7 linked regions of the Cricetulus griseus genome follow. The protein of the gene in region 1 interacts with the protein of each later gene in a pairwise test. Links are inferred from orthologs where the notes say so. Each region holds a gene or a part of one and is shown in the gene's direction. Other genes may lie near its edges. The genes, in order: Prkab2, Tle5, cone-rod homeobox protein, Pygm, Bend5, Adamtsl4 and Csnk2b.

Region 1 (3,634 bases):
TTGGTGTAATACCACTTTCCCCAAAGTCTTTATAGCTGTGCTTGTTCGCTGTAGTAGCAGAGGCACGTTTTGCAAACCATATCCATAGTTACTATCTCATTACTGTATGATGGAGTTGTGCCTGCCTGGAGAATTGCACACTTTCTGCACTGAGCATATGGCCTCTTGCATACAAAGTCTGCCTCTGCTACTTGTTATGCCATCGTGCAACTGACTCCCAGCAGTAAAATTGAGGGCTTGGACCCTCAGTGAGCCTCTGTCATATTGTCTGAAGTAGAGCACATAGCAGAATCTCAAGGACAAGGGACAAATTGTCCATAGCACAGTAACTACCAATTTAGAAAAAAAAAATGTTTCATTATATAAACTCAGAAAGTTATGGTGAGCATTCTTATTGGCTGGAGGGGTGGTGATCTTAAAAGGTTTATATTCTGAGGCCACTAGGACTATGATTATATTATGATCTGCAAAGTAACCAAAGAATATTTGACAGTCAATCATAATTATGTAATGGGAAGACTAAAACACTTTCGGGTTCACCCAGTTTCCTAATCCAGTGATGTAAGGCATAGAATCCATTTATTAGGAATATACAGATAATGGGTGTAGGCATGTACATAACTTTTCAATGTCCTACTTGGATTTTTTAGTGCCATGGACAGCACTTGAAAATTGTCCTGTGTTATTTACCAATGGTGTTTGTGGATATTTAATACAATGTTGTTGCTACTTCTTTCCTTTTGCCTTATATGTTGAAGCAAATTTGAGTTATTAAAATAGACTTACTAAAATCTTTTCTTTGGAACTTTAAAATTGTGAAACAAAGAAAACATAGTTCATTTAATTTTTGTAAATTTAACCTGAATGCTTTTCATTTTTTAAGTAGAATTCCGGTACCATAAAACACATATTTTTTAATTGTAAAATTTATCCTTTTATTTATTTATTTTTTTGATTATTGAATTTTAAAACCCATCTCTTTCTCCTCTCTGCCCTGTGTCAGTCACAAAGCTTCTGCCATATGCATTTGCCTGTTCTGGACAGTTCATACAAATGTAACCATGCACCATGTGGCTTCTTTCATTTAGCAGGCTTCTGGGGCTTTCATCCTTGTTGAAACATGTATCAGTACTTTGCTTGTTTGTGGCTGAATAGAAGTCCACGGTATGACAGTTCCTTCTTGGTTGTCCATCCCTTGTCGACAGACATTTGTTTTCTGCTTGGAGCTCTTACAAATTTTGCTTAAGAACACTCATGGTCAGATTTTTTTTTTTGGGGGGGGTAGCTTATGTTTTATCTTAGGTGATAAACCCAATATTGTAATTACTGGGTCACAAAGTTTCACTGTTTGAGGATGACTATACTGTTTTCCAAAGTGGTTGCACTATTGTTCATTTCTACCAGTGGTGGAAATACTGTAGTTTGAAGCCACAGTATTTGCCAGTGTTTCCCAGTACTTGCCATTTCAGCGGCAGCCATCCCACTGAGTATGAAGTGGTATTTTTTGTGGCTTACATCTACACTTCCTTGACTACAGCTACAGTGTGTTCTGTCTGCTGTAATCATTGTAGACTTAGAGTGTATAACGTTGTTGTCTGTTACTTTGGTAGAAATAAAATGAAATCTAATCTTTTCACATTGAGTTCACAGAGCATCTTTATTTCTACTATCACTTTGATTTTTTTCAAAAGCACTATGACTTGGGAAGATTTTTATCTTGAGGATGAGGAAACTGACCATATTAAAGGGATCTGTCCAAGGACATATCGCTGACAAATGGAGTTGGTTTCCTGGAGCCTAGGTGCTGGCCTCTCATCACTTCCTTACATCATGTTGCCTTGTTGGGAATCTTCCTGGTCCATGTTCAGGACAACTCAGACATTTCCTTTGCTCGCTTACAGTTACAGGCCAGTAGGTCACAAGTCCGTTGCTTCAGGACCTATATTACATTTAAGATTAATGGCTGTGTTGATAGTTTTCCTCATGCGTTATTACTAACCCTTCAACTTTCCTTCACGTTTGCATGAATATTTTTCAGACCTATCCAGCTCACCCCCAGGGCCTTATGGTCAAGAAATGTATGTGTTTCGATCTGAGGAGAGATTCAAATCCCCACCCATTCTGCCCCCTCACCTACTCCAAGTTATTCTTAACAAGGACACTAATATTTCAGTGAGTATCCTGAGCAGGTTGCTAAAGCGTCTGGGGAATCTTAGGACCATTGAGGCCAAACTTCAGGAATCTTGGGGCTGGAATTAGGACCCAGCTTTGTCAAGGCAATGAAATAAGCCATGTGCATGTCAGCAGCACTGTAGAATACTTTTTCCAAGACTGAACTTTAGGTACCAATAGCGGAATTTATAGTTGTTTCTGTTTCTAGTAAAATCAGAACCAAACTATGCTGGAATTAATGTCTACTATGACTTCTAGTCTATCACAAGATAAGGGTACTCTCACTAGGGGTTATACAGAATTCACAACTTTTTATGTAAGTAAATTTTATCTCTATTTTACTTAATTGATGGTTGATTCCCAAACCATCTATACCTGTCAGCAAGGTTTTTGTTTTAATTCTATTAAGGAAAGTTAGCAGATGTTGGGGCTTAGCATTTCACTCTTAGATTTAGGATTTTTCCAGATTTTATGATGTGGGAATACATAATTCATAGGAGACAAAGTGTTACCTATTTAGAGTTCTTAACAGTTCAAAGGAACAGTTAACTTGGTTTTGTCTGCATTTAATCACATTTGTGGGGGGTGGGGCTGTTTTTTCTCCTAGTGTGACCCAGCCTTACTTCCTGAACCCAATCATGTTATGCTGAACCATCTCTATGCGCTGTCCATTAAGGTAAGTGGTGGCCGCGACGCTCCACAGCCTCCCGAGTGGAAGGGTAAGAGTCACACATGCTTTTCGGTGGTAACTTGCTTTCTGCGGCTTTTAAAGCTGCAGTTGACACTGACAGTCAAGTTACAGAAGAGCCGTCTTTTCATACCTCAAGGCTGTTTGATTTTAAACTTCAGTCTCCTTTGAAGCTTCCCCCACCCCTCAGACAGGGTTTCTCTGTGTAATAGCTCTAGCTGTCCTGGAACTTGCTTTGTAGACCAGGCTGGCCTTGAACTCACTGAGATTCACCTGACTCTGCCTCCCAAGTGCTGGGATTAAAGGTGTGCACACCACCACCCATCAAACAAATTATTTGTTTTTGGTTCTGGGCTCAAGCTAGCTGAACTGTCAGTGATGGGGACCTTTCTGCTTCCCAGTGTCTGTGGGTGGCTGGAACCTTTGTACCACCTGTTTACTTAAGTTGGAGTTCAGGTAGTTGGATTCCATGTGCAGAAAATCAGGTATAGCTTCCTTCAACAAGTTCTTGAGTAAGACAGTAGAGCTTCCTAAGATATGGAATCAGCTGCAATGAGATGCCCTGCTTGTGTATACCACACGTTTCTATCGCTTGTATAGTAGATAGGGAGTTGGTTTTACCAGACGTCTATGTTTTTCCCACCCTTTCCCTAGAGTCCTTAGTTTCTCTGTTGCTTTAGTATCTTTGTGGCTTGAATGTTAGCATAAAGGTATGTAGTTCTGTGGCTGGCTAAGCCGGTCCTTGAGGGAACTCCTTGGAGCAGTTGGTGAGCA
Region 2 (4,359 bases), on another chromosome or scaffold:
TCCCAAAGTGAGACAAAGGACAAAAGGATAGCTATAGGGAAAGCCGGCCTGGTACAGGAGAGGCATGGATTCAGGGTTATCCTCTGCTACAGAGTTCCAGGCCAGCCTGGGTTACATGTGACCCTATTTTCATTAAATAAGATAGTGTCAAACTCACCAGTGGGACTGTTACCAGAAGCCCTGCCATGAGCAGCGGCCTTGCCTCCTGGGGTCCAGTGTGTGAGTTCTGTCCCAGGGGCTTTGTCCTTGTCCTATGGGCCAGAGAGTCTCCATGCTCCCTCTTCCCCTCAACTGCATACCCCCCCCCCTTAGCTCCTCACTGGGGCTGGGCATCCTAGTGGACCAGGCCTATTGGGCCTATTGTTTCTGCTCTCTCTCTCTCTCTCTCTCTCTCTCTCTCTCTCTCTCTCTCTCTCTCTCGGTTTTCCGAGACAGGGTTTCTCTGTGTAGCTTTGCAGCCTATCCTGGCACTCGCTCTGGGGTGCAGGCTGGCCTCGAACTCACAGAGATCTGCCTGCCTCTGCCTCCCGAGTGCTGGAATTAAAGGCGTGTGCCATCAACGCCCCGGCACCTCTGCTCTCTGATCTTTGTGGGTCACCTGTGCATAACAGTCGACTTTTGTCAGGGTCTGTCTCAAGTATGGGACAGACAATTGCCATACAGCTCAGGCTGGCCAGAAATTGTAGGAATCCCTCTGCTTCAGCTTGCTCTGAAATGTTGGGCACTAATTAGCCCCGGGAACTATTTTCCTTTTATATATTTATGTTTTTATTTTAATTATTCTTGAGAAAGGGCTCATGCAATCCTGGCCAGGCTAGCCTCAAACTCAGAGAGATCTGCCTGCCTCTGGGCCTCCGGAGCGCTGGAATTAAAAGGTGTGCACCACCTCTGTTTCCAGTAGGTCTCTAACTTTTGTTATTTTTGAGACGGAGGCTCATGTAGCCCAGGCTGTATGGGAACTCACTGTGTAGATCAGGCTGGCTTCCACCTGTCTCAACCTACCTTGCACTGGGATTAAAGCCTTGCACCATCACTCAAGTCTTTTACTTTCTGTTGCTGTTTTGAGATTGGGTGTTTTGTAGCGCAGATTGGCCTGGAACTCTTGGTCCTCCAGCCTGTACACTTCAGTCAGTGGTGACAGGCCTGGCCCCTTCCTACCTCCGTGGGACGGGTATCACCGTGCCCCCAGCCGTGCCAAGCCTCCCCTCCCCACTCCAGAGAGGGCGAGGCACACCGTAGGCGATTCATAAATGCACCTTGGGGTCTGGGCACTCAGACTGTGGGTCTGGGGCCTGAGAGTGGAGTGGGGGATCGAGGCAGGCTTCGGGCCAGGGCTCGGGGCCGCGGCGGGGGCGGGGCGCGCGGGGCCAAGGTCACGGGTGGGGCGTCCGGCCTGCGCAGTGCCGGGCGCGGCAGGTGGAGCGGGAGCCCGGGCGGCACCGCGTCGCCATTACACAATAGCGCGGGCGGCGCGGGCGGGCGGCGGGCGGCGCAGGAGGCGGGACGCGGGGCCCCGGAGCTGCCGATCGGGGACAAAGCGCGGCCGCCCGGCGCCCCCCGAGCCGCCCGAGCCGGGGCGCAGCCCGCGCCCCCCGCGACTGACATGATGTTTCCGCAAAGCCGGCACTCGGTAAGGGGGACCCCGCGCTCTGCACCCCGGAGCTCGCCCTGCACCCCCGGTGCTCGCCCTACATCCCCAGCTCTGCTCACTGAACCCCCGGAGCTCGGATCCCGCCTGTCTCCCCGCCCAGGGCCTGCCCCAGGGGCTCCCACCGGCGCTGTCCCCGGGGTCTTTGCACCCAACCACCCAGGCCGTGCGCACCCCACCGGCCCAGCACTGCATCCTTCAGCCCGGACCCCTGAACTTTGATCCCGGCCTCGAGCCCACCCCGTGCTGCCTGCCCATCCCGACTCCGGACCAGCCTGTCTCTCAGCCCGGGGCCCCGCACCCCACTCCAGCCGCATCCGGCCTGTCTCCCAGCCCTGGGGCTCAGGCCCAGGGCTGCAGCACCCCAAGCCCAGGCCGCACGTGTCCTCCAGCCTGAGACCTTGCACCGCCACCTCTGCGCTCCCGCACCCCTCCGCACCAGCTCGCTAATGGCCCCAGACCAGCCTGCCCCCAAGTCCAAGGCCCTGCACTTCCATCCCTGCCCCCAAGTCGGCTGCCCCGCACCCCAGAATATAGGCTCCGTACCCACTGCCTCTCCCCCGAGCCCTTTCGGGCCTGGCGTCACCATCCGGGCCCAGCGCCACCCCCCAGCCCGGCCCTGTGTCCTGCAGCTGCAGGCCTCGCACCCCAGAGGCCTGCCACCTCCCAGCCCCCATCCTGCACCCTCAGTACCGCAGTGTGGGGGACCCTGCGCCTTTATAACGCCCACTGTGCCTCTGCCCCTGTCCGGAGCCCGAGGACCCCCCACGCCCGCCCTCCCCCAGCTCCAGGCGCCGACCCCCCGCACATCCCTCCCACCCCAGCTCCCGGTGGCCCGGCAGCCCCCACCCTGCTCCCAGCCTTGACCCCAGACTCTAACTGTGCTCCCCAGATCCGAAAACCTTACACCCCAACTCCTGGCCCAGTGTCCTCAGATGCCAGCCCTGTGCATCCCCTCACCCCCAGGGACACCTCTCGGCCCGCCCCTGCACCCTAACATTTACCATCTGCCTCCCTGACCCCAGGCCTGTCTTCCTCCCATGGCTTTCACTGGGGCTGGGGGGAACCCCGCGAGGCACCCCTGGGGCTGGGCAGCTTTGGGGGGAGTCCCCTGAGGAAACAGGTGTGATGGGGGTACGCCCAGGAAGTGTGGGGTGGTAGCTAGGTGCATCTTCCAAGCTGGCTTTGAAGGCAGGCCTGTGTCCTGTTTGACGTAGAGGGGCTTCCCGGGGACCCCTCAGAGGCCGCTGGAGGATGGGGTGCCTGCCCCCCAAAATGACCAACGGTAAAAGCGCCTCCTTGCCTGGGGGCCTCCCAGCCCCCTGCAGGCTTCCTAGGAGAGTGCTGCTGGGGCCTGCAGAGCTCAGCCAGGAAGTAGGGCGTGGGCGGGCAAGCAGGCCCTCACCCTCCCGCACCCTCACCCGCACCCGCAGGGCTCCTCCCACCTCCCCCAGCAGCTCAAGTTCACCACCTCCGACTCCTGCGACCGGATCAAAGATGAATTCCAGCTGCTGCAAGCCCAGTACCACAGGTGAGCCCGCGCCAGGAAGGCCGCACCCCCAGAATGTAGGGGTTATCTGTGGTCTGGAGAAAGGCTGGGAGGGGGTGGAGGCTTGAGGGTCAGCAGTTCAAGGTCATCTTCAACTACTTAGCAAGTTAGAGGCCAGCCTGGGATACATACCACCCTGAGTCCAAAACCAAACCAGCAGCCCCGTAGTGTGGAGGGGGAAACCGAGGCACACAGTGTGTGTTGCTTCAGAAGCCGGGTCCCCAGAGAGCGTGATGCTCTCATTTTAACACAGGCTGCAGTGGGTGTCCAGAGAGGGTTATTAATCAGCCAAGGTCCACACAGCCCCTCCTTCTCTTTCTGTCCACTTATGGAGTGGGGGAGCTTGCTGGTGTCCCACAGACCATCCAACTGACGGGCTCCCACAAACTGTTTTCCTGTTTCTCATGTGTGAAACTAATCACTCTGAAGCCCAGAGAGCTCAGCCATTTCCGAGGGCTGCACAGCACAGAAGCAGCCTGAAGTAGGGGACTGGGGAAAGCGTGGCCTGGGGTCCCCATTTGACCCTGTACTCCCAACAGTGAGTGAGCATGGGGGTGCGGCCCAACACTCAGTTCTCAGACACACAGGAGGAGGATGGAGGCGTTTTGGGCTAGCCTGAGGTACAGAGCAAACCTATGTCTCAGAAAACAAATAGTAATAATAGTAATAGTCTTTGAAAGATACTCAGAGTTCTCCAAGAAAAAGGAAATCTTGGGTTTGTGATTTTTTTTTAATTTATTATTTTTACTTTTTGGTATTTATTTTGAGACAGGGTCTCATGTAGTCCAGGCTTCCTCCAGCTCCCTTTGTAGCCAAGGATGACCTTGAGCTGCTAACAGTAGATGACAGTCAAGAAGGGGCCCAGTGGAGCTTCATGTGCTAGGTCAGTGGAAGCTACCTACCAGGCCACAGCCCCAGCATTTGTCATTTTAGAGAGGGCACAGGTGTGCCCCCCCCCATGGTCTCCCACTCGGGTCCGTGGCCCCGCCCTCCTCAGGGATGCCTTCTCTGAGCCCGGGCCTGAGTTCCTGGCTGGGGGAAGTCGAACTCGGGAACAGCATCCACACTGAGAATAAGTTCCCTGGAGATACTTTTTATCATTTTCCTCCTTTGCCTTGGTGCTTATGGCTGAGCCACGTCCAACCCAGAGTTACTTGTGGTG
Region 3 (4,113 bases), on another chromosome or scaffold:
TAGGGCTACACAGAGAAGCCCTGTCTTGAAAAACCAAAACCAAAACAAATAAAACAAAACACACACACACACACACACACACACACACACACACACACACACACACACACAAACACACACACAAAAACAAAAAACCAAGGTGGGAACTGGGGACGTAGCTTATTAGGTAGAGTGTGTGTCCGAGCATTGGTGAAGACCTGGGTTCAGTACCCAGCACCATATAATCCAGGTATGGTGGTGCTGACCTGTGATTTTGGCACCCGGAAGGTGGAAATAAGAGGATCGGGAGTTCAAGGTCATCCTCAGGCACTTAGTAAATTTAAGGCCAACCCGAGGTATATAAGACCTTTCAAAAATAAAATAAACTAATGAAATGAAAATATGAGGTGGCCTGATGGACAAATTTGGGGTTGAATTTTGGCCTCCCCTCTGCTTCTATACACATACCTGCCCCACACTTGGAGTGATGGCTAATGTCTAGAGTCTTAGCACTTGTGCGGTGGAGACAGGAGGGTCAGAAATATCAAATCAACCTTGGCTAGTTTAATGTCAGGTCAGCCCGCAACAGGAAACCCTGTTGCACAAAACCAAAAAGAACCCCCCACCCCACCCCTGCCCTCCAGACAGGGTTTCTCTGTAACAGCTCTGGCTGTCCTGGAACTGGCTCTGTGGACCAGGCTGGCCTTGAATTCACAAAGATCCACCCACCTGTGCCTCCCAAGTGCTGGAATTAAAGGCGTGTGCCACCACCACCTGGCAAAACATTTCTTTTCTTTTTGAGTTGGGTATTGTGGCCTTGTCTACAAATTGAGAGCCGGGAAGGGTGGTGCATACTTTAATCCCAGCACTCTGGAGGCAGAGGTAGGTAGGTGGATCTCTGAGTTTGAGGCCATCCTGGACTATAGAGTGAGTTCCAGGACAGCCAAGGCAACCGAGGAAACCCTGTCTCGGAAAAACAGAACAAAACAAACAAACAAACAATTAGGAGTTCCAGGACAGCTAAAGCTATATTCTAAGGTCCTGAAACTCACTCTGTAGACCATGCTGGTCTTGAACTCACAGTCATCTGCCTGCCTCTGTCTCACCAGTGTGAGTGTTTAAGGAATTAAATGAATGTACCATAGCCAACACTTGGATTCTAAAAAACGAGAGGGAGAAAGAGAAAGAGAGAGACGAGATTGGATTACTGGTGAGAATGGTTCCTGAGAAGAGCCCCTGAACAGGATGTGAGTATCAATTTGTCAGTGCCCTGGCAGTGGGAAGAGTGAACACCCCTTTCTCTTGTAGGTGCCCCCATCTGGGTCCCAGTCACAGAAGATCATGATGGCGTATATGAACCCGGGACCTCACTATTCGGTCAATGCCTTGGCTCTGAATGGCCCCAGTGTGGACCTGATGCACCAGGCAGTCCCATACTCAAGTAAGTGTGCTCCTCTTCCCATCTCTGTCTTGTTTTTCCATCAGTCTGTAAAACTTTATTTCTAAAAGAAGTGAGCATTCTAATGACCACGGTACTATCTTTTCTTTGTCTCCGTCTCTTATTTTTGGAGTAGAGCTTGTTGGGCTGGAATCCAGGGCTTTCTTGGATTCTAGGCAAGTACTTTACTATGGAGCTGTGAGTCACCCTCACTGGGGGGTTTTAGGCATGTGCTTTTCCACTGAGCCACGCCTCCAGCCCTTCAACTCTGGGATTCTAAGCAGGGGGCTCTACCATGGAGCCACACCCCCAGCCTCCTGGTTCAGTCTCTAGAGGCCTGGGATTATAGTCCTGCACCATCATGCTGTACTATGGTACTTATTTAACAGTTCTCTTTTCTATTTCTTTCTTTTTTTTCCTCCTTCGTTCATTTTTGAGACAAATTCTCACTATGTAGCCATGGCTGGCCTGAAACTCACTATGTAGACCACATTTTTTTTTTCTTTTGTTTTGTTGAGACAGGGTTTCTCTGCAGCTTTGGAGGCTGTCCTGGAATTAGCTCTTGTAGGCCAGGCTGGTCTTGATCTCACAGAGATCTTCCTGCCTCTGTCTCCCGAGTGCTGGGATTAAAGGCAGGAGCCACCTTTTTTTTTTTTTTTTTTGTTTAGAGAATAAAAAAACGATTGCATGAGTTTTTGCATGCAGGATGGAAAGCAGGAGCCACGGCTGTCTTGCAGAGGTCTGAGATGACTTTTGGGAGTCATTTCTTTCCTTCTACCTTGTGGGTCCCAGGGACTGAACTCAGGTCTTCAGGCTTGTACATAATTGACACTGCAGTCTTGCTAGCCCACCTTCTTTCTTTTATATTGAGTCATAGAGACATCGCTTTTATGGGCTGAAGTGCTTGGTTTTTAACAACATGTTTCTACCGAATGTGTCTTTCTTTCTTTTTTTGTTTTTGTTTTTTTGAGACAGGGTTTCTCTGTGTAGCTTTGGAGCCTATCCTGGCACTCGCTTTGTAGACCAGGCTGACCTCGAACTCACAGAGATCCGCCTACCTCTGCCTCCCGTGTGCTGGGATTAAAGGCGTGCGCCACCAATGCCAGGCCTTTTTTTGGTTCTTTGAGACAGGGTTTCTCTGTGTAGCCTTGAAGCCTGTTCTGGAACTCCCTTTGTAGACCAGGATGGCCCCGAACTCTGCCTCCGGAGTGTTGGGATCAAAGGCGTGCGCCACCACTGCCTGGCCATGAATATGTTTTTATGAATAATAAGGTTCAGGAGCGGAGTCTGGTGCAGTGGCTCCTGCCTGAACTCCCAGCTATTTGGGAGGCTGAGGTAGGAGGACCAGGCAATCCCAGGATTTTAGGGTCGGTATGGGCTACATAGTGTAATGAAAGAGAAGGGGAGAAGAGAGAGGAAGAGGAGGAAGAGGGCGGAGGAGGGAAAGGAGGTTGGAGAGAATTGAGAACAAAAAGGGGCAAATCCTTGCAGGGCTAAAAGCAGTTCCCTCCTGTGGACATTTGACTGGAAAGCTCTGGAGACTTGAGCCGGTGCTAGAAGGCCGGGGAATAAACACAGCCCCTTGTCTGGGCAGAAAGGACAGGGCTGGTGTCCCACTGGATCAGGGCATCCAGCGAGCAGACCCAGCTAACCTGAGGGTTCTTTCATTCTCCCAAACCTAGGCGCCCCTAGGAAGCAGCGGCGGGAGAGAACCACGTTCACCAGAAGCCAGCTGGAGGAACTGGAGGCCCTGTTCTCTAAGACCCAGTACCCGGATGTGTATGCACGCGAGGAGGTGGCTCTCAAGATCAACCTGCCTGAGTCCAGGGTCCAGGTAGGATGTTCTGGAACTCTGCTGCTTTACTGTGATCTCTCTCTCTCTCTCTCTCTCTCTCTCTCTCTCTCTCTCTCTCTCCTTTTTCTTTTTCTCCTTTTTCTTCTTTTTCTTCTTCTTCCTCTTCCTCTTCCTCCCCCTCCTCCTCCTCCTCCTCCTCCTCCTCCTCCTCCTCCTGTTTGAGACAGGGTTTCTCAGGAGTCTATCCTGGAACTCACTTTGTAGACCAGGCTGGCCTTGAACTCAGATCTACTTGCTTCTGCCGCCCAAATGCTGGGAATAAAGGCGTGTGACATCACCGCCAAGTCCCTTACTATGATCTTCGATGGGTCCTTATTAGATCCAGAATGAGTGGAGGAAAGACAGGCCACAGAGTAACAGTCACAATTATGAAGTAGCAGCCGGGCATTGGTGCCGCACGCCTTTAATCCCAGCACTCGGGAGGCAGGTGGATCTCTGTGAGTTCGAGGCCAGCCTGGTTCCAGAGCGAGTGCCAGGACAGGTTCCAAAGCTACACAGAGAAACCCTGCCTCGAACCCCCCCTCCCCACCAAAAAAAAAAAAAACAAAAAAACAAAGACAGGGTTCTCAGTGTCCTGGAACTGACTCTGTAGACCAGGCTGGCCTCGAACTCAGAGATCTGCTTGCCTCTGCCTCCCAAGTGCTGGGATTAAAAGAGTGCCACCCCTGCCTGGATTTTTTTTATTTGTTTTTAATCTTAAAACTATATTTTGTTTTCCATGACTGGGTTTCTCTGTGTAACAGCTCTGGATGTCTTGGAACTTGCTTTCTAGACCCAGGCTGACCTTGAACTCACAGAGATCTGCCAGTCTTGCTGTCTCCTGAGTGCCAGGGATTAAAGA
Region 4 (4,064 bases), on another chromosome or scaffold:
CCCGCTGTATAGCCTGGGTGGGAACAGGAGGAGAGAAAGCGTCCAGTCGCCTACCCACCTGCCAGTGGATCATGGGGAGAACTCGGTGCTGGGATCCAGGGCTTGGTTAGTTTGTTGGGGTTGGTGGTGCTAGAAAGTGAGCACAGGGACCAGGCAAGTGCTCTAACCCTGAGCCATATCCCAGCCCTCTTTGTATTATGAGATTGTATCTCAGTGATTTGCCCAGGCTGCCCTTGAGTACTTGTAGCCCAAGCAAGCTCCTGGCTAGGTGTGGTAATGCACACCTTTAGCTCAAGCACTTGAGAGGCAGAGGCCAGATGGTCTCTGTGAGTTTAAGGCTAGTATGGTTTACATAGCAAGTTTCAGGATGTCCAGGGCTACAGAGTGAGACCCTCAAAATAACTAATAGAAAAATAAAAAAAAAATAGGATAAGATTTGAATTTATGGTCCTGCTGTGGCTGAGACTGCACAGACTGATGACACTTGGGGGAGTCACGAACTGGTGGGGAATGCTGTCTCACTCTTGCAGACCCACAGGACTATAGTTCCCAGTAGCCCCTGCTTCAGGCTGCTTCCTCAGACAAAGCTGTCCTGTAACCCGACTATCCCTCTTGAAAAGGTCACTTCAGAGCTCCTTGAGAGACAGCAACAGGAGGAAGCTCAGAGCACTGTGCTTTGGTGGGGGTGGGGTGAGCGCAGTGGCCCTCTATCTTAGGCATGCATCCTTCCACACAGCACTCCCTGCAACCCAGGGTCTTGGTCTCTTTACTTTTTGAATTTATTTTATGTGCATTGGTGTTTTGCCTGCACATGTGGTCTGTGTGGGGGCTGCCATGTGGGTTCTGGGAATTGAACCTGTGTCCTCTGAAAGAGGACCCCTGGCTTCCCTTTTTCACAGCTGCCCACCCTCCTCTGAACTAGCAGCACCTCTCTGTTTAGCGCACATTCATTCTCAACTTGTGGCTCCTCCTCTTGCCCATGCACATGACTTCCCCGCCTGTGTGCAGGTGTCCCAGCCAGGTGAGTTGTGGCTTTGACCAGCTCTACAGAAGCAGAAGTCCTTACACTCTAGACAAGTGTCACAAGCAAGCCTGCTGCTCTGAGGGAAGGAAAATGTGTCTGGCACTTGTGACAACCCCTTGGCCTTTTTTTTTTTTTTTTTTTTTTTTTAAGTTTTCGAGACAAGGTTTCTCTGTGTAGCTTTGAGGACCAGGTTGGCCTTGAACTCCCAGAGATCTGCCTGCCTCTGCCTACCAAATTCTGGGATTAAAGGTGTAAGCCACCACTGCCTGACTCCCCTTGGCCTCTTTAAGGAGGGTCCACAATCCAGTCCTACCTTTAGTCTATAGCTCAGGAAAGAGTCTAGATTAGATATGTCATAGACAAGGTCTCAACCAGAATGTTTTAGGCATGCCTCGTCCCGCTCTCCAATCCTGTCTCCAATCCTCCAAAAGCAAGGGGCCAGAAGACAAGGCCAGAGGCTTAGGAAACCTAGAAGTGGGTCAGCTGTGAACACGCCCCTCCTTCCTCCCTCCCTCCCTTCCTCTCCTCCACTTGCCCCCAAAATAGCTCCCTGAGCTTCAAGGCCAAGACCCTCCCATGTCCGGGGAGGCGTGTCATGCTGCCCTGAGCCAGGCTTTAAATCCCCTCACAGCTGAGCAGCTCCACTCCCTGGCTGGAGGCACCGAGGCCGTCAGTCTGTCCAGTCCCGTCTGCCTTCCTGCAGCCATGTCCAGACCTCTTTCAGACCAGGATAAGAGAAAGCAAATCAGTGTTCGCGGCCTGGCCGGCGTGGAGAATGTGTCTGAGCTGAAAAAGAACTTCAACCGACACCTACATTTCACCCTGGTCAAGGACCGAAATGTGGCCACCCCCAGAGATTACTATTTTGCTTTGGCCCACACCGTGCGGGACCACCTCGTGGGACGTTGGATCCGCACACAGCAGCATTACTATGAAAAGGACCCAAAGGTGCTACAGTAGGGGACACCCTGCGTGGGAAATGAGCTGGGAGTGAGGCCTGGATGTGAGCTGTCCTTTCCTGAAGCCCAAGTTTTCTACAGCAAGCTAAATTGCTGTTTTAACCTCCCTGGGGTTGGAGGATCCAGGGGTGCTGGACAGAAAGAATACTGAGGAGGGAGCCCCGGGGTGCTCAGGGTAGGCAGGCTGCTTACATATGTGCCAGACAAGGTTGGAGGGGGTTGCTGGTGGGCATGAAATGTATCCCCCTGTCACCCAGTTTGGACCTGGCATGGAAGGACATGTCATCAAATGTGTGTATGGCACAGTCTGCTTGTGCCACAGGCAGGGCACTGCTGGGGCAGCTGGGGCAGCAGGTATCAAATGTCTGGTAGGGTCACTGGTAAATGTCAGGAACCTAAAACTCCACAACAGGAGTGGGGGAGGGGCAGGGAGGGACCCAGGAAACGGGGAGACTGGGCACCCTCAGCATCTTTATGCTTCTGTTCATCTCTGGACGGAGGCTTGAGTTGAAGGAAACAACCGTGCATGGACAGGAGATGGCAGGTCTAGCCCTGAGTCACCATGTGACCTTGAAAATGACTTTTTCCTCTGGGCCTTGGCAATGCCTTCTGGGGGAGCACTCAGAGGTGCTTCTCAATGTCCTGACTTCCTGATGGGTTACATTAGGAGGGGTATGTACCTCGGAAGGAGTCCCTGCTTTTCACTAGCACCTTAATCCCTGAGATAGGCCTCCGCAGCCTCTTTCTCTGGAAGAGGAAACCGAGGCCAGATGAAAAGGCATTTCAAAGGCATGTAGGGACCAGTGCCTTTCTTGTCTACTGGACCCCCAAATCTGAGTGGCTCTTCTGAGCAGGGAGAAAGGAATTGGTGGCAGAGATGAGTCATGCTGGGTCTTGGCAAGTAAGACAGGAGGAGGCTAAGAGGTTCAGAGGCAGCTGTGCCTGGCTGAATGTCAATGGGTGGCCCTGATCCCTCTTCCCTGTCTCTGGGCAGAGGATCTACTACCTGTCTTTGGAATTCTACATGGGACGGACGCTTCAGAACACTATGGTGAACCTGGCCTTGGAGAACGCCTGTGATGAGGCTACTTACCAGGTGGGGGAAGCACTTAAGGTTGGGGGTTCCCATGCTGGCACTTTGGCCTGACCGCTGCCACCCTTCTCTCAGCTGGGTTTGGACATGGAGGAGCTGGAGGAGATCGAGGAAGATGCAGGGCTGGGGAATGGCGGCCTGGGGCGCCTGGCAGGTGAATACACAGCTTGTGGGGGTGGGGTGGAGCAGTCAGTCCCTCTTGTTAGATTCCTGATACCCACTTCCTGTACCCATAGCCTGCTTCTTGGACTCCATGGCTACACTGGGACTAGCTGCCTATGGATATGGGATCCGCTATGAATTTGGGATTTTTAATCAGAAGATCTGTGGGGGCTGGCAGGTGAGCAGCCCTGACCCCAGCCTTGGGGTCCCTCACTTGGTTATCCACCTCTGGATAGACTATGAACCCACTCCAGCTCTCCAGACAAACATTCTTGCCTCTTGCCTCAGAGCCAGCTGGTGACCCCCCCAGAACAGGTGGTCCACCCCTGTGGAATGCTTAGGATATACTGTGTCCTGCTGAGTGGCTCACCAAGCCAGGACACTGTTCCTGCGCTGTTCCGCCACTCACAGGACGTGAGTCCCCACAGCTCATGCTGTCTGTGTTGTTCCCATTGACCCTCTAGATGGAAGAGGCTGATGACTGGCTTCGCTATGGCAACCCTTGGGAGAAGGCCCGCCCTGAGTTCACGCTGCCTGTACATTTCTATGGCCGAGTGGAGCACACCAGCCAGGGTGCCAAATGGGTGGACACACAGGTGAAGAAGAAGAAGATGGGTACAGGTTCTGGGGGGGACTTAGTGAGAGGCAGAAGGGAGGAGAGCTCCTAGAGAAAATAGGACATGGAAACAAACTGAAGGTTCTTGAATCTACTGTCATTTTACAAAGGAGGGCACTAAGGCTCAGAGAGGTTAAGCGATATACTGGAGGTCACACAGCCAGAGCTGGGAGATATTAGTCAGGGTTACAGGGAGGCCAGGCAAAGTGT
Region 5 (3,634 bases), on another chromosome or scaffold:
TCAAAAAAAAATTTTTTTTAATGATAAACATTAGTATTAGTCTGTAAGTTGTTAAGAGCCACAACTGGGGACAAATTTTTTAGTTAATTGATGGAAGTAGAGAGGGTACAGTGATTTCTTGGCTTTCATCATCCCTCTGGCTGTCTCTCTTCTAGGAAGCTCGAGATGGTGTTCTGATGTGTGCGCTACCCAAATCAAACCGGATACATTGTGGTTGCATTTAATTTCTTAAAATCCTAGGTGTTCTGAGCCAGAGAGATGAACTTTGAGATGAAATCCAAGTCTCCCACTTCGTAGATAGGGACGCTGCAGTTTGAGCTGGAGAAGGACTCACCCAACTCCACGCCTGCTGGCTGCAGAGCCAGGCAGCTGCTCTGCTCCTGCCAGCTGGCAGAGATTTATAACTTAGCTCTAAATTGGAACTATCTAGGGAGCTAAACCATCCTGGTGTCTGAGCCACACCCAGACCAAACAATTCAGAATCTTGGAGAGGAGGCCTGGGCACCAGGGAATGCTATAGCTGGGTGAGTCCTGCAAGCAGCCTCCACCATGTTAGCAGGGGGTGAGCCTCAGAATGTGCAGGTAGAAGAGGGTCTAATCTTTCTAGCGTATAACATACACACACGAGCACATAATACACTGAGATGGGTCAGGCTCAGAGCACCCATGTGATAATAGCACGAATCCCAGATGTGCCACTCATCAGTTGAGTGACTTCTAAAGTCACTTCACATAACTGAACTTGCTCTTCCCATCGGAAGTGACAAGTGTATCATAGCACCTTCTGTTTAGGAGAGTGAAGTCAGAACTTTAGAATAAGGCCTGCTACATTGCAAGAGCTCTGTAAGTGATGCCGTTATTGCCTCTTTGGCATGATCCCTTAGAGTGGAGAAGTAGTGTTTTTAAAGGACAAGAGCAGCCTCCGGCTGCCTTCCTGTGGGACTAAACAGGTGTGGTGTTATCTCTTTCAGGTTCATCTGGGAAGCGGGATTTGGGTTGATGAGGAGAAATGGCACCAGCTACAAGTAACCCAAGGAGATTCTAAGTACACAAAGAACTTGGCAGTCATGATCTGGGGAACAGATGTTCTGAAAAACAGAAGTGTCACAGGAGTCGCCACAAAAAAAAAGAAGGATGCAATCCCGAAGCCACCCCTCTCTCCTCACAAGCTAAGCATCGTCAGAGGTAGCATACCCAGTGGAAGCACAATGCTGGACATCCTGTCCTTTGCTCTGTCAGAAATGTATTGTTTCAATTTGGTGAATGCTTACTGAAGCCCCTGTATGCCAGACCCCCAGTGGGACACAGGAGCATAGAGGCAGACATCATAGCTGCCACCAGAGATCTCACACTGGACAGGACAAGTGAATATGGACACAAATATAGCTCAAGGGTGTAGCATACCATGCAAGAGGGACAGTGTTTGTGCTGGGAATTGTCAGGAAGGGAGGATGCCCCTCTGGAAAAGCTGGGGAGAATCCCAGGGAGAGAAGGTTGCCGAATAAGGGCCTTCAGTGCTCCTCAGCAGGAGATGGGCTGAGAGTGCAGAGGTACCTCGGGAGGCAGAAGTGTCTTGAACAGAGGAGTGCAGATGGGAAAGGGGTGTGTCTACAGAGCAGTAAAGGTCAAGGCTGGGGAAACTTCTTATTTTAGCCGTGTCTAGAACAGAGAGACAAGCAGCAGTTGATAGTTGATACAGGTTCCTTCCTGGTGTTGGGGAAGGCGGGCAGAGAGCCAGGGAGTCTTGTCACCCAAAGATATGGTGTTACCCCATACTCCTTATCCATTCATCTTCCCTGCCTCCCTCCTCCTTCCCTTCCAGCCTTCTTTCCCTTCCTCTTTCCTTCCTCCATTTTCTTACCTTCTCACCCTCTTCTTTCCCTTCCCCATCCATTCCCTAAGTTCTTACTCTTTTCTAGACCCTCTCCTGGGTTTTGAGAACACAAAGGACAAGACACAGAGAGCATCTACAAGGAGCTCAGTCTCATGAGGAATGTATATATATTATAACAGTACTGTAGGTCAGAACAAAGTAAGGAGTATAGTATAAGGAGAAGAGTGAATATAGTAAGTGCTAATTATTCTGAGTAATTGTTGTAACCCATTTTATTAAAATAATATCTGTACTAAGCAGTTTTAAATATATTAACTCACTGTGCTCTCAACACCCCTACTGTTGGCTGCTGTTACTATTCTTTTCACCGTTAAAGAAACTGGGTCACGGAGGTAGTGGGCACATTTTCCCAGGTAATAATAGGAGGAGGAAATCCAGGAGGACAAGGGCGGCTTTGGAGTCTGTTCCTAATCATAAATGGCCAGGTCTACCACATTTCAACGAAGAAAGTAAGACACGGGTGAATGTCCTGTTTGAGCAGGTCCTACAGTTGAGCACATTTTGGGTCCCAATGACAAATGTAACTATGATGCAGTCAGGCTGCTTTGGGTCCTCTGAGCATCACACAAGATGTGATGGGACAAAGGGCCGCATCAGCTCTGTTTGGGAAAAGGCCTGTTAGAACAGATGGCGTCCAGCTGGGAGTTAGGCTGGAAAAGGCAGCCTGTGACAGGTGGAGGAATGGTGGGTCAGGCAGAATAGGCTGCAGGGCAGAGGCCAGCACACTCAGGTGAAGTGGCTCAAGTGGCTTTGCAGTTGTGAGTGAGGCCAGGGAGGTGAGTAAGAGCCAGTCTGACAAGGAAGTGAAAGGAATCGTAGGCCCCTTGGGTCTGCAGAGATCCCAAAAGCCATCAGTTGGTGGAGTGTCCCCTGGGAAGATCAAGGAGAGCCAGCATTGTCACAGACTAAGGTTGGGAAATGTGCAGTTATATTGTATGTTCTGGAGGTCAATGTGGAAAGACACTGTGTGATTATGCAGCTAAGCTAAGGCCACAGCTATAGGGTGTCTGAGTCTGGATTCAACCCCACATATTCTCACTCTAGTCTGTAGCCTTCCCCATGTAATACAGGTGTCTCCCCTCCTGGTTAGCCCATGATTAATTGAAGAAGGCAGCCACTTATTTTTAGATAATAAGAGAGAACCTTTAGTTGGCTGATGTCTACAATGGTGCAGCTTTATTCAGGAGGCCGTCCTGAGAAAGGCCTTCTCCGGAAGGCAGCCCTGTTTCGCCCAGTCAGTGCCAACCTCCAGCTGTATGCCTTGTCAGGGTGTGACCTAGCAGGTCCCGGGTACCCTCAGATAACTGTCATGTTTGGGTCTGAGATTAACTGCCAGAGTCTGCCTCTGGTACAAGCAACTGTAGCTGACTCCCCCGTGTTCATTGCCAAGTGCAGTACCAGCCCTGAACAAGGCTTGAACACATGAAGCCCTGAGATGTTGGAACTGATCCTGCCCCACAATAGATCTGACTTTTCACTTTCTCTCTTCAGATAATATGAATCTTTAGGCATTTACTAATCATTTCCCCTCTTCTTTTGTTGCCTTGCCTGAAAACCTATGTGCTTCATCTTGGTTTTTGGTTTTTGAGACAGGGTCTTACTGTGTAGACCAAGCTGATCACAAGCTCCTAGTCATCCTCCTGCCTCCAGTGCTGTCTGTTACACAGCCCCTGTTAATAAAGGTTCTGCACAGCATTTCTTGCTTATTTGATAATTACCTTTCTGTCTCGTCTCCATTAG
Region 6 (4,267 bases), about 2.0 Mb from region 1:
ATAAGGTTAAAAATCCTGGCTTATCCCAACACTGTAATCCCATGCTCAGCTGGCTGAAGCCAGAGTTCAAGTTTGGGGTCAGCTTGGGCTACACAGTGAGTTCCCATCAACCTGTCCTATTGTTATCACAGGGCCTGTCTCAAAAACAAACAGTAGCATTCTGCCTTTTTCAGGGCTGGGAATGGAAACTGGGCTTCCTGCGTGTAAAGCTCACTAAGTTACATCCCCAGCCCCAGGACTGTTTTATAGACACACCCATCATCTTTGAGATAGCTCCTGCGTCCACAGAGCCCCATATTAACTCCAAAGTGGTCAATGTTCACTGGCAGGGTCTGTGCTATTAGACTGAGCACTTTCGGGATGGAGACTAACTTCTATGCCCTCAGCAAGAGCTATACAAGAAGTGTTAGGCGGGGCACCAAGGGCCTCTGTTGTTTTGTGGGGTCACAAGACAATGTTGCTAAAACTTCTATATTTGTGTGTTTTGACATTTAGGTTGTGAACCTGGCCTTTAATGGCTGAGTCATCTCTTTAACCTTGATTGGGTGTTTTTGCTTTATTTTTTTAGATTTTTCAAGACAGGGTTTCCCCTGTGTAATAGCCTTGGCTGTCTTGGAACTTACTCTGTAGGCCAGTCTACCCTAGAACTTGCTGCGTTTCCTAGGCTGGTCTTGAACTTGCAGTGGTCCTCCTGCCTCAGTCCACCAAGAACTGAGATTAGAAGCATGCACTACCATGCCCAGTATGTTTTCAAAAAAAATTTACAAGGTTGGACTGATATGGTGGTGTACGACTTTAATTCCAACACTTCCAGGAGCAGAAGCAGGTGGATCTCTACATAGTGAGGTCCAGGTGGCTCAGGACTTAATAGTAGGACCCTGCCTCAAAAATAAACAACCAAGCCAGGTGGTGGTGGCACACACCTTTGATCCCAGCACAGGCAGAGGCAGGAGAATCTAGTGAGTTCGAGGACACCCTGGTATACAGAGTGAGTTCCAAGACAGCCAGACCTGTTACAAAGAGAAACTCTGTCTCAGAAAAACCAAAACGAACAACAACAGCAAAATAAATAAACAAACAAATAAACAAACATCTACCTACGAAAAGACGTACAAGCAGAATATAAATAGAATAAAAAGCATAAAAAGGTAAAACTCTTTCTCATCCCTTCTTCTTCACTCGGGCACTCCTTCTGAGTCATTATTCCACATGAAGATGGACAAACATTTCCAAGCCTAATATACACATCAAAGTCTCCCATTCTACAGACGACACTGCTGCCGCACTGATGTTGAAGTGCTAGTGAAAGACCACAGAGCTGGCAAGCTCTCGAGCTGAAATTCAAATCCAAATTTGTCTGACTCATAATTCAACGTGCATTCCTTCCGCTAAGCTCCGGGGTGTAAAATTTTATGGATGAAGAAACCGAGGCTCACAGACATCCTCGGCCATCAGAGCCACACGGTTCACTGCCCAGCATGGGAAAAGAGGAGGAGATGGCACGGGCTGCGTGGAGGAGAGGGCCTCGGCTTCGGTGGATCTCAGCTTGAGGAGGGCCACATGGGTCCAGTTTGTAAATCCCCCTTGCCCGTGCTCTTCGTGTACAAGCTCCACCCGAAGGCTGCTCTGACAGGGTCGGTGGGGTCCCAAACCCTGGGGTGGGGGCGGGAACGATGCCCGCATGGCCTCTAGCCGTCGGGGGCCGGCGCGTGGCGGGCGGGGCGCGGGCGGCACGGGGAGGAGCCTGCCGCGGGCGGGCGGCGCTGTCCCCGGGCTCCCGGCCCTGGTGGCGGCCGAGGAGGGCAGCTGGAGAGAGCGGGCGCAGAGAAGGTAGAGCCTCCCCGACCCCCGCCTGGGCTCTGATGGTCACGGAACAGCGGACCCTGGGCCGAATTCCTGGGGAGGGGGTCTGGTCCCATTACCCGGGCGAGGGCTTGAGCCAAGATTCCTATTAAGTCACATAGTGAAGTTGGAAAACATACGGGACCTCCCTGCAGCCGGCGCCACCCGCTCCTCCCCGAGGGGCTTCGGGAGGATGCACCCCTACGCCTGACTCCGAGAACGCAGGGATAGGGTGTCCGGGAGGGATGCGGGTGGGGCTCTTCGCACAGCACAGCCTTTTGGGAGAGGTTGGGGGGAAAGACAGACACCTGTTGGGATGGAATTCTAACAGGACAGCAACTCCCCTTTGCCAGTCCAGCCCTTACTAGCGCTCCTTTCTTCCTAGCTCATTTGCCCGAGGCGAGCCCAAGGGTGAAGGGGTTAGCTCCATACAGGTCACTTTCCTTGCTGTCAACGGCCCAGTGTGGGGTGTGAGCAGGAGCAGCCTAGGCTGGTCCTTACCAGAGTCCACCTTGACTTCAGGGTGGCCACCTCCAACTTCTGTCTTCCTCACCCTTGGCACAACAAGCATGCATTTGTGCCGGGAGGGGGAGTCTCCTGCTTCCCTATGCAGGGGAGGGTGGGGTGGACTTTTCCAGAGAGGGAGCCAGGCCTGGCCCTGGCCCCAGGAGCTCTCATCACCCCCCACCCCTCACTTCTCCAGGGAGCTGCCAAAGCCAGCTCAGGACAGGATTATGTGTACTGGGTAGACCACGGAGAGGCAGCAGGGACAGACCTGGGGGAGCAGAGAGAAGCAGGAGGTGGAGAGGGGACCAGCATCGGACAAGAGAGAGACAGGTGGTGCCCATCACTCCTTCTTCCAACTTCGAGGGGTTGAACATGGCTCCTTTTCCACCAGGGCTGTTGTGGACCTCAGTGGCTGGCCCAGCAAGGGGAAGGAGAGGGCTCAGCCACTTTGTTCCTGTCTTCAAATTCCCAAGTTCTGGGGTCCCGGGAGTGGGGGTTTGGCTAGCTTTTGCTTTCCCTCTGTTCTTTGCCTGCCCTGAGCTGGCCCTGTGTTGGCCAGCAATGCTTGGATTCCTCTGGTGGTGCCATTTAGATCCAACAGAAACAGTGTTTTTCCTGGAAAGCAGAGTTGAGATGGGATGAGGGGTGTGGGTGGGAAGGGCCTCAAAGAGAAGGAGGGGGCTGGAGGACAGGGCCTTGGGAGAGACAGGCTATGGAAGCCCCTCTCTACAGCATTCAAGGCTAGACTTCAGGGTGGACTTCCCGGGTATACCAGAAGGCGAAGCTGGTGACTGGGAAGGATGAGCAGCTATGGCTGCATCTCTCTCCTTCCTAAGTGCCCAGCCATTTTGGCTGAACATCGGAAGAAAAAAAAAGAAGAAGAAGAAAACTAGCTGTACATGAACTAGGTTGCCACGAGCCAAGGCCTCGTGGATGCTGGCACCCACAGGGAGGTTAAGTCACCGCCTCTTCTCTAAAGATGAAGCCATTAGCCCACTTAGTTTATCCCTTGGACAAAAAAGTGCCTGTGGTCACCCAGATGTGCCTGGCTGTTCCTTCATAAGGAGCTTTATCTAAGAGAGGGAGAAAGGTCTGGGAGGCAGGTAGGAAACAAATACTCGGGTTTTTTATTTTTATTTTTACTTTTTTTTTTTTTAAGGGGGAAAGAGTTTTTTTTGTTGTTGTTGTTGTTTTTGTTTTTTTGTTTTTTTTTTTTTTGAGATAAGGGTCTTGCATCACCCAGGCTGGATCTTCTGCTCCCCGACTCAAATGGTGGGATTAAGGCTTTTGCCCCCACACTTGGTGTCAAGGGCCCTCTGGTACCTCATAGGGGTACCTGGCATAGCCTGCCTCCTCTAGGTCCTGGAGCTCTGGGAGGAAGAACCTCCTGGTTCCCCCTTCCTCCACCCTGCCCTTCCTCGGGCCTCCAGAGGAGCTAAGTCCATCTTGGGCCACAGGGAGGGAACTAAACTGAACTGGAAGGCTGAGGTCAGACCCCCACCCTTGACTCAGCAGATGACAAAGACAGTGTTCCTTATTGCTCCCACCCTTAGGTCCTAGAGGGGTGGACCAGTTTTCCCTCCACTCTGCTGGTGCTGTGCTGGGACAGCCCTTTAGTCTTCCGGCAATCTGCAGGGGTAACCACTGTGCTTCTTCCTCAGAGTATCCTCCGTGCCCAGATGCCAGAGTAGCTAACCTGCCCCTGCCTCCCAGCCCAGGGGCAGTCAAGGGAGAGCAATGGAGACCTGGCTGGGCAGGTAAGAGCAAGGGCTGTCAGTCTCTAATAGTAAGAGCAGGGAAGGGGCCCGGCAGTTGTGGCACACACTTTAAACTTGGGAGGTAGAGGCAAGTAGATCTCTGTGAGTTTGAGGCTAGCCTGGTCTACAGAGAGAGTTTCAGGGCAGCCAGGGCTACACAG
Region 7 (4,144 bases), about 170 Mb from region 1:
GTAGAATGCTCGCCTCGAATTTGGGAGGTCTGGGTTCTATCTCTACAACAGGAAAGAAAAAAAAAATGATAATAGGAAAGAATGTTCCCCCAGGCACTTGTCTAGGGGCCCTGCGTTCTACTCCCTTCTCCCTTCAAACAAAAACAGCAGGCTGTCTCTGAAAACCTTTTCCCACCCTGTAACACATACCGTTAGGGAATATCGGCCGGGACTTTTAAATCTTGCTCGATCTTACGTGGGGCTGGGGGGGGGTGTCTCCTTTTCCCAAAGAAAAACAGGCGTGACATCATTCCAGAAGGTGTCGGGGTAAAAGCGTTGCACTGTCACTTCCGTACCGAAAAATGGCGCTCTCGTCATCTGCAAGAGTTGACACAATCCGACACCCACCTGGCACAGAGACGCATGCGCAGCAGCCAACCACAACAAAACACCCACAAGGTTCAGTTTCCCGCGCTGGAACCTTCCCAAGCATCCGCGTCAGGCATCGCGTGCCCAGACAGCGCGAGGGCCCAGGGGGACCTGTCGGTTGGGGTCCTACTTTTACATAACGCCCCCACAATGCTCTTCGCCACCCTCGACGTGGTCCCTCCCGCTCCAAGCCCCTCTTGTGGAGCCGGGAGGCCTGAGGACGCCAGGGAGCCGCGGGATGCCGGGCAGCCGCGAGACGCGCTAACACCACGGCGCCCCTCACCGCTACTCCGAGCAGGGCTCGAAGAGCAAGCAGCTCACGTGGGGTCCGCAGCAGCAGCAGCAGCAGCAACAGCAGCAGCAGCAGCAAGCAGCAGCAACACATGGAGAAGTGCAAAGGGATGAGCGGCAGAATGGCAGGCGCCACCTCAGGTTAGCGCGCGGGGCGGTGCAGCAGGTCCCCCGCCCCCGCCGCCCGGCTCGGCAGCCCAAGCCCTGCGACCTCAGCCCCGCACTCCGAGCCGCACCTCCGGGCCGCATGCCTGGTCCTCGGCGACGGTGTCAGTCCCCGGGGCGGCAGGGACGACCGGAGCGGGACGGAGCGGGCGCGCAGCGGGGACCTCAGCGGCCGCCGGCGCCGGCTCGCAGCCTGCCGAGCCCAAAGCGCGTAGGACTATATTTCCCAGGCTTCCCGGTCGGGAAGGCGGCTGTAACCTGGCTTCCGCTTCCGGTGGAGGCTCGGCTCGCCCCGCCCCCAGGCGGCTTCCGCTAGGGCCTCGCGACCCCGGAGTCATGCGCGCGGACTCTTGGGATTGGTGGTTCGCCGTCCCCGCATCGCGTCACTTTCTGCCTCTCTACGGGACTCCATTTCCCGGCGTCCCTAGGGGCAGGGGCGGTCCTCGGCGCCTGCGCGTTGCCCTCTCTCCCTCCCCACCCTCCCCAGTTCCCCTTCCCCCCTCCCCACTTCGCCTGCCGCGGTCCGCTCGGCTTCCTGCGCTGTAGCGGTCGCTGCGGTTCCTTCGAAGCTCGGCTCCCCTTCCCCGCCCCAGTCCCAGTCCCCGTCCGGCCGGTGAGTCTGCGCTCGTCCCCGCGCCGCGGCGCCGGGCTCCGCGCTCCGAGATGTGGGGGCGAGGAAGGAAGGGACCGGGTCGGCGGCCGAAGGAGGCCGGGTGGCCTGAGGAGAGGAGCGGCTGTGGGGACGCTCGTGGGTCCCGCGGGGGTGCGGGGCTCCCGCCGGCGCCGCGAGGCCCCGAGAGGCGGGCTCGGGGGGGAGGATGGACTCGGGAAGCCTCGGGACGGGCGCCAGGCGAGTGCCTCGGTGGGGCCGCGCGGGCCGCGCGCGGCCGGGGGCCGGGGGGCCGGGGGGCCGGGGCCTGGCCTCGCGCCGGGCAACACCCACAGATCGGGACCTGTCACCCCCTGGGAAGGAGTGGAGCTGGTTCTCACCACGCTGTCGGGGGGCTGAGGTAAAGAAGAGAGGCGTGGAGAGCGGTGCTTCACGGGCCGGGGCCACTCAACGCCAGTGGCCTCGGATTCCTCCGCCGTTGAGGAGACCGTGTGTGTGGGAGGAGGGAAGAGACCAAGAAACAGCCTGGTCTCCACTTAACGCCCTTCTTCCTCAGCCGACGTAAAGATGAGTAGCTCTGAGGAGGTTTCCTGGATTTCCTGGTTCTGTGGGCTCCGTGGTAATGAGTTCTTCTGTGAGGTGAGTTTAGCTGGCTTTCTGGGCCCTCTCCACGTGCCCTCGGTGTTTTCGTTGTATGTTGTCTGAGATGAGATTTCCCCCGAAGCTGACTGTGTAGCCCAGACTGTCCTTGAACTCCTGGCAATCCTAGTGCCTCAGTCTCCTGAGCGCTGGGGTTCACTCTGTGCATGGCTAACAGAGGTATCGCTGGTGACCGTCAGGAAAGTTAAAATGTTTCATGTAACATGAAAACCACAGTGTGGTAACGTAGGAAATGATCAATGCCTGTGAGAGTCTGATGTCCCAGAGCAGAGAGCAAACCCGGGTCCTTTAGAGGAGGGAGACAAGTTGAATAATGCGCTGTACCTTGTTGGCCCGGAAAGAAGAGAGCTGCGGTTTCTGTGGGAGACGGAACACCTCTGCAGAAGTGAGAATAGGAAACAAGGGGAGCCGATGCGGTCGTTTGTCTCCTGGGCCAGGTGAAAGACGGGGCTTCCCACACTAGTTTCAACCTCTTGACTCCCCTGTCCCGGTAGGTGGATGAGGACTACATCCAGGACAAGTTTAATCTGACTGGACTCAATGAGCAAGTGCCTCACTACCGGCAAGCTCTAGACATGATCTTGGACCTGGAGCCTGGTAACGTGCCTGCCCCCAGGGCCGTCGCTGCGTGTGGGGTCCATGATATGTGCACTTGTGTGTGCTTTGGTTTCTTCTTATTCTGGTCTCTGCTCGCTTGCTTCTTGAATTTTTCTCTTTTCTTTTTCGGTTTTTCCAGAAGGGTTTCTCTGGCCTTGAACTCACAGAGATTCACCTGCCTCTACCTCCCGAGTGCTGGTGTTAAATGCATGTGCCACCACTGCCCAACCGCTTCTTGAATTTCTAAATTTCCTTTTGATTCTCTAGCTCTTCTGTCTATTCCCGAGTCTCTTGCTCGCTTGTTTGTTTGTTTATGTGTTTTCTCCCCCACCTCTCCTCTCCATTCATAACCCAAACTGGACTTTACCACTTGCTCTTCCTGCCTTGGCCTCCACGTGCTGGGTTTTGTATGGCACATACACCACTGCCTGGCTTCTTCATTATTTTGATTCCCTACCTGACCCTTGCCTTCAGGGACTGGTAACATTTGTTTCCATGCTCTCCAAATGTAACTCCACTGTCTCTCACAATGCCAGTCTTCTGGTGTGTTGTGTGCTGCTGCTTTCCTCCTGCTGGTCTAGAGTGCCACCCTCTGCAATTATGTTTATGTGTTGGGAAGGGGAAGAAGCTGGCAGAGACTAGAGAGGTGTGGAGAGAGGGCAGTGCTGATGGCCTGGGTGATGGATAGGGTGTGTCAGAAACAGGTGCTGGATAAACTGTAGGAGGCCACCTTGGGGATAAGGTGGGGTACAAGTGGCCATCCCACCTTTCAGATGAAGAGCTGGAAGACAACCCCAACCAGAGTGACCTGATTGAACAGGCAGCGGAGATGCTTTATGGGTTGATCCACGCCCGATACATCCTCACCAACCGAGGCATCGCCCAAATGGTGAGGCTCTGCTCCTGCTTCTGAGGCAGTGAGACAAACAGGTGCATGAGGCAGAAGGCATGTTTCGTACCTGTCAAGAAGTCTAGCAGAGGAGACGAGGAGAAGCCCAGAGCTGGGCTGAGAATCCAATCCTCACTGAGGGTCCTACTGAAGGTATTGTTTTCAGGGAGGGAGATGAGGCCATGGATAGGGAACAGAGAGAGCAAATGGCCCTTGTGTTCTGCAGCCTGCCAACTTGAGGAAAGCAGTTGAGAAGGAAGCTTGAGGACCTGTCTTGACAAAGAAGGGCTTCTAGTTAGAGGTGGGAGGCCTGGGAGGTGGGGAAGTGAGGTGCTCTGCACACGTACTCACCAGTCCCTTCCATTTTGCACACCTCAGTTGGAAAAGTACCAGCAGGGAGACTTTGGCTACTGTCCTCGTGTGTACTGTGAGAACCAGCCAATGCTTCCCATCGGTGAGTGTTGGAGAGGGGAGAGGAGGGCACTACTTGCCAGTCAGGTTGATGTGGTCAGTGCCTGAGCCCT

What was found.
Region 2: the proteins of Prkab2 (region 1) and Tle5 interact in binary tests that used the Homo sapiens proteins (3 or more experiments, as listed by UniProt). The two-hybrid records come from large-scale screens. The link is inferred for Cricetulus griseus from reciprocal best matches to the Homo sapiens genes PRKAB2 and TLE5.
Region 3: the proteins of Prkab2 (region 1) and cone-rod homeobox protein interact in binary tests that used the Homo sapiens proteins (3 or more experiments, as listed by UniProt). The link is inferred for Cricetulus griseus from reciprocal best matches to the Homo sapiens genes PRKAB2 and CRX.
Region 4: the proteins of Prkab2 (region 1) and Pygm interact in binary tests that used the Homo sapiens proteins (3 or more experiments, as listed by UniProt). The link is inferred for Cricetulus griseus from reciprocal best matches to the Homo sapiens genes PRKAB2 and PYGM.
Region 5: the proteins of Prkab2 (region 1) and Bend5 interact in binary tests that used the Homo sapiens proteins (3 or more experiments, as listed by UniProt). The link is inferred for Cricetulus griseus from reciprocal best matches to the Homo sapiens genes PRKAB2 and BEND5.
Region 6: the proteins of Prkab2 (region 1) and Adamtsl4 interact in binary tests that used the Homo sapiens proteins (3 or more experiments, as listed by UniProt). The link is inferred for Cricetulus griseus from reciprocal best matches to the Homo sapiens genes PRKAB2 and ADAMTSL4.
Region 7: the proteins of Prkab2 (region 1) and Csnk2b interact in a two-hybrid assay, tested with the Homo sapiens proteins (2 studies listed by BioGRID and IntAct). The link is inferred for Cricetulus griseus from reciprocal best matches to the Homo sapiens genes PRKAB2 and CSNK2B.

What each region holds. Positions count from the first base shown.
Region 1 is NW_023276806.1:58,812,376-58,816,009, reverse strand, and holds part of Prkab2 (5'-AMP-activated protein kinase subunit beta-2), read left to right. Parts: intron 1-2,038; coding exon 2,039-2,172; intron 2,173-2,779; coding exon 2,780-2,848; intron 2,849-3,634. UniProt on the Homo sapiens protein: Non-catalytic subunit of AMP-activated protein kinase (AMPK), an energy sensor protein kinase that plays a key role in regulating cellular energy metabolism.
Region 2 is NC_048598.1:102,308,409-102,312,767, forward strand, and holds the start of Tle5 (TLE family member 5), read left to right. Parts: upstream 1-1,426; 5' UTR 1,427-1,603; coding exon 1,604-1,630; intron 1,631-3,081; coding exon 3,082-3,179; intron 3,180-4,359. UniProt on the Homo sapiens protein: Transcriptional corepressor. Acts as a dominant repressor towards other family members. Inhibits NF-kappa-B-regulated gene expression. May be required for the initiation and maintenance of the differentiated state.
Region 3 is NC_048602.1:10,446,625-10,450,737, reverse strand, and holds the start of cone-rod homeobox protein, read left to right. Parts: upstream 1-1,293; 5' UTR 1,294-1,320; coding exon 1,321-1,420; intron 1,421-3,099; coding exon 3,100-3,251; intron 3,252-4,113. UniProt on the Homo sapiens protein: Transcription factor that binds and transactivates the sequence 5'-TAATC[CA]-3' which is found upstream of several photoreceptor-specific genes, including the opsin genes.
Region 4 is NC_048596.1:52,970,530-52,974,593, reverse strand, and holds the start of Pygm (glycogen phosphorylase, muscle form), read left to right. Parts: upstream 1-1,172; 5' UTR 1,173-1,600; coding exon 1,601-1,972; intron 1,973-2,977; coding exon 2,978-3,079; intron 3,080-3,151; coding exon 3,152-3,230; intron 3,231-3,312; coding exon 3,313-3,416; intron 3,417-3,702; coding exon 3,703-3,834; intron 3,835-4,064. UniProt on the Homo sapiens protein: Allosteric enzyme that catalyzes the rate-limiting step in glycogen catabolism, the phosphorolytic cleavage of glycogen to produce glucose-1-phosphate, and plays a central role in maintaining cellular and organismal glucose homeostasis.
Region 5 is NC_048595.1:38,521,378-38,525,011, reverse strand, and holds part of Bend5 (BEN domain-containing protein 5), read left to right. Parts: intron 1-971; coding exon 972-1,185; intron 1,186-3,634. UniProt on the Homo sapiens protein: Acts as a transcriptional repressor.
Region 6 is NW_023276806.1:60,816,852-60,821,118, forward strand, and holds the start of Adamtsl4 (ADAMTS-like protein 4), read left to right. Parts: upstream 1-1,407; 5' UTR 1,408-1,634; intron 1,635-1,710; exon of another isoform or gene 1,711-1,830; intron 1,831-2,545; 5' UTR 2,546-2,679; intron 2,680-4,010; 5' UTR 4,011-4,086; coding exon 4,087-4,106; intron 4,107-4,267. UniProt on the Homo sapiens protein: Positive regulation of apoptosis. May facilitate FBN1 microfibril biogenesis.
Region 7 is NW_023276806.1:231,642,959-231,647,102, reverse strand, and holds the start of Csnk2b (casein kinase II subunit beta), read left to right. Parts: upstream 1-1,328; 5' UTR 1,329-1,477; intron 1,478-2,030; 5' UTR 2,031-2,041; coding exon 2,042-2,113; intron 2,114-2,628; coding exon 2,629-2,731; intron 2,732-3,504; coding exon 3,505-3,620; intron 3,621-3,998; coding exon 3,999-4,074; intron 4,075-4,144. UniProt on the Homo sapiens protein: Regulatory subunit of casein kinase II/CK2.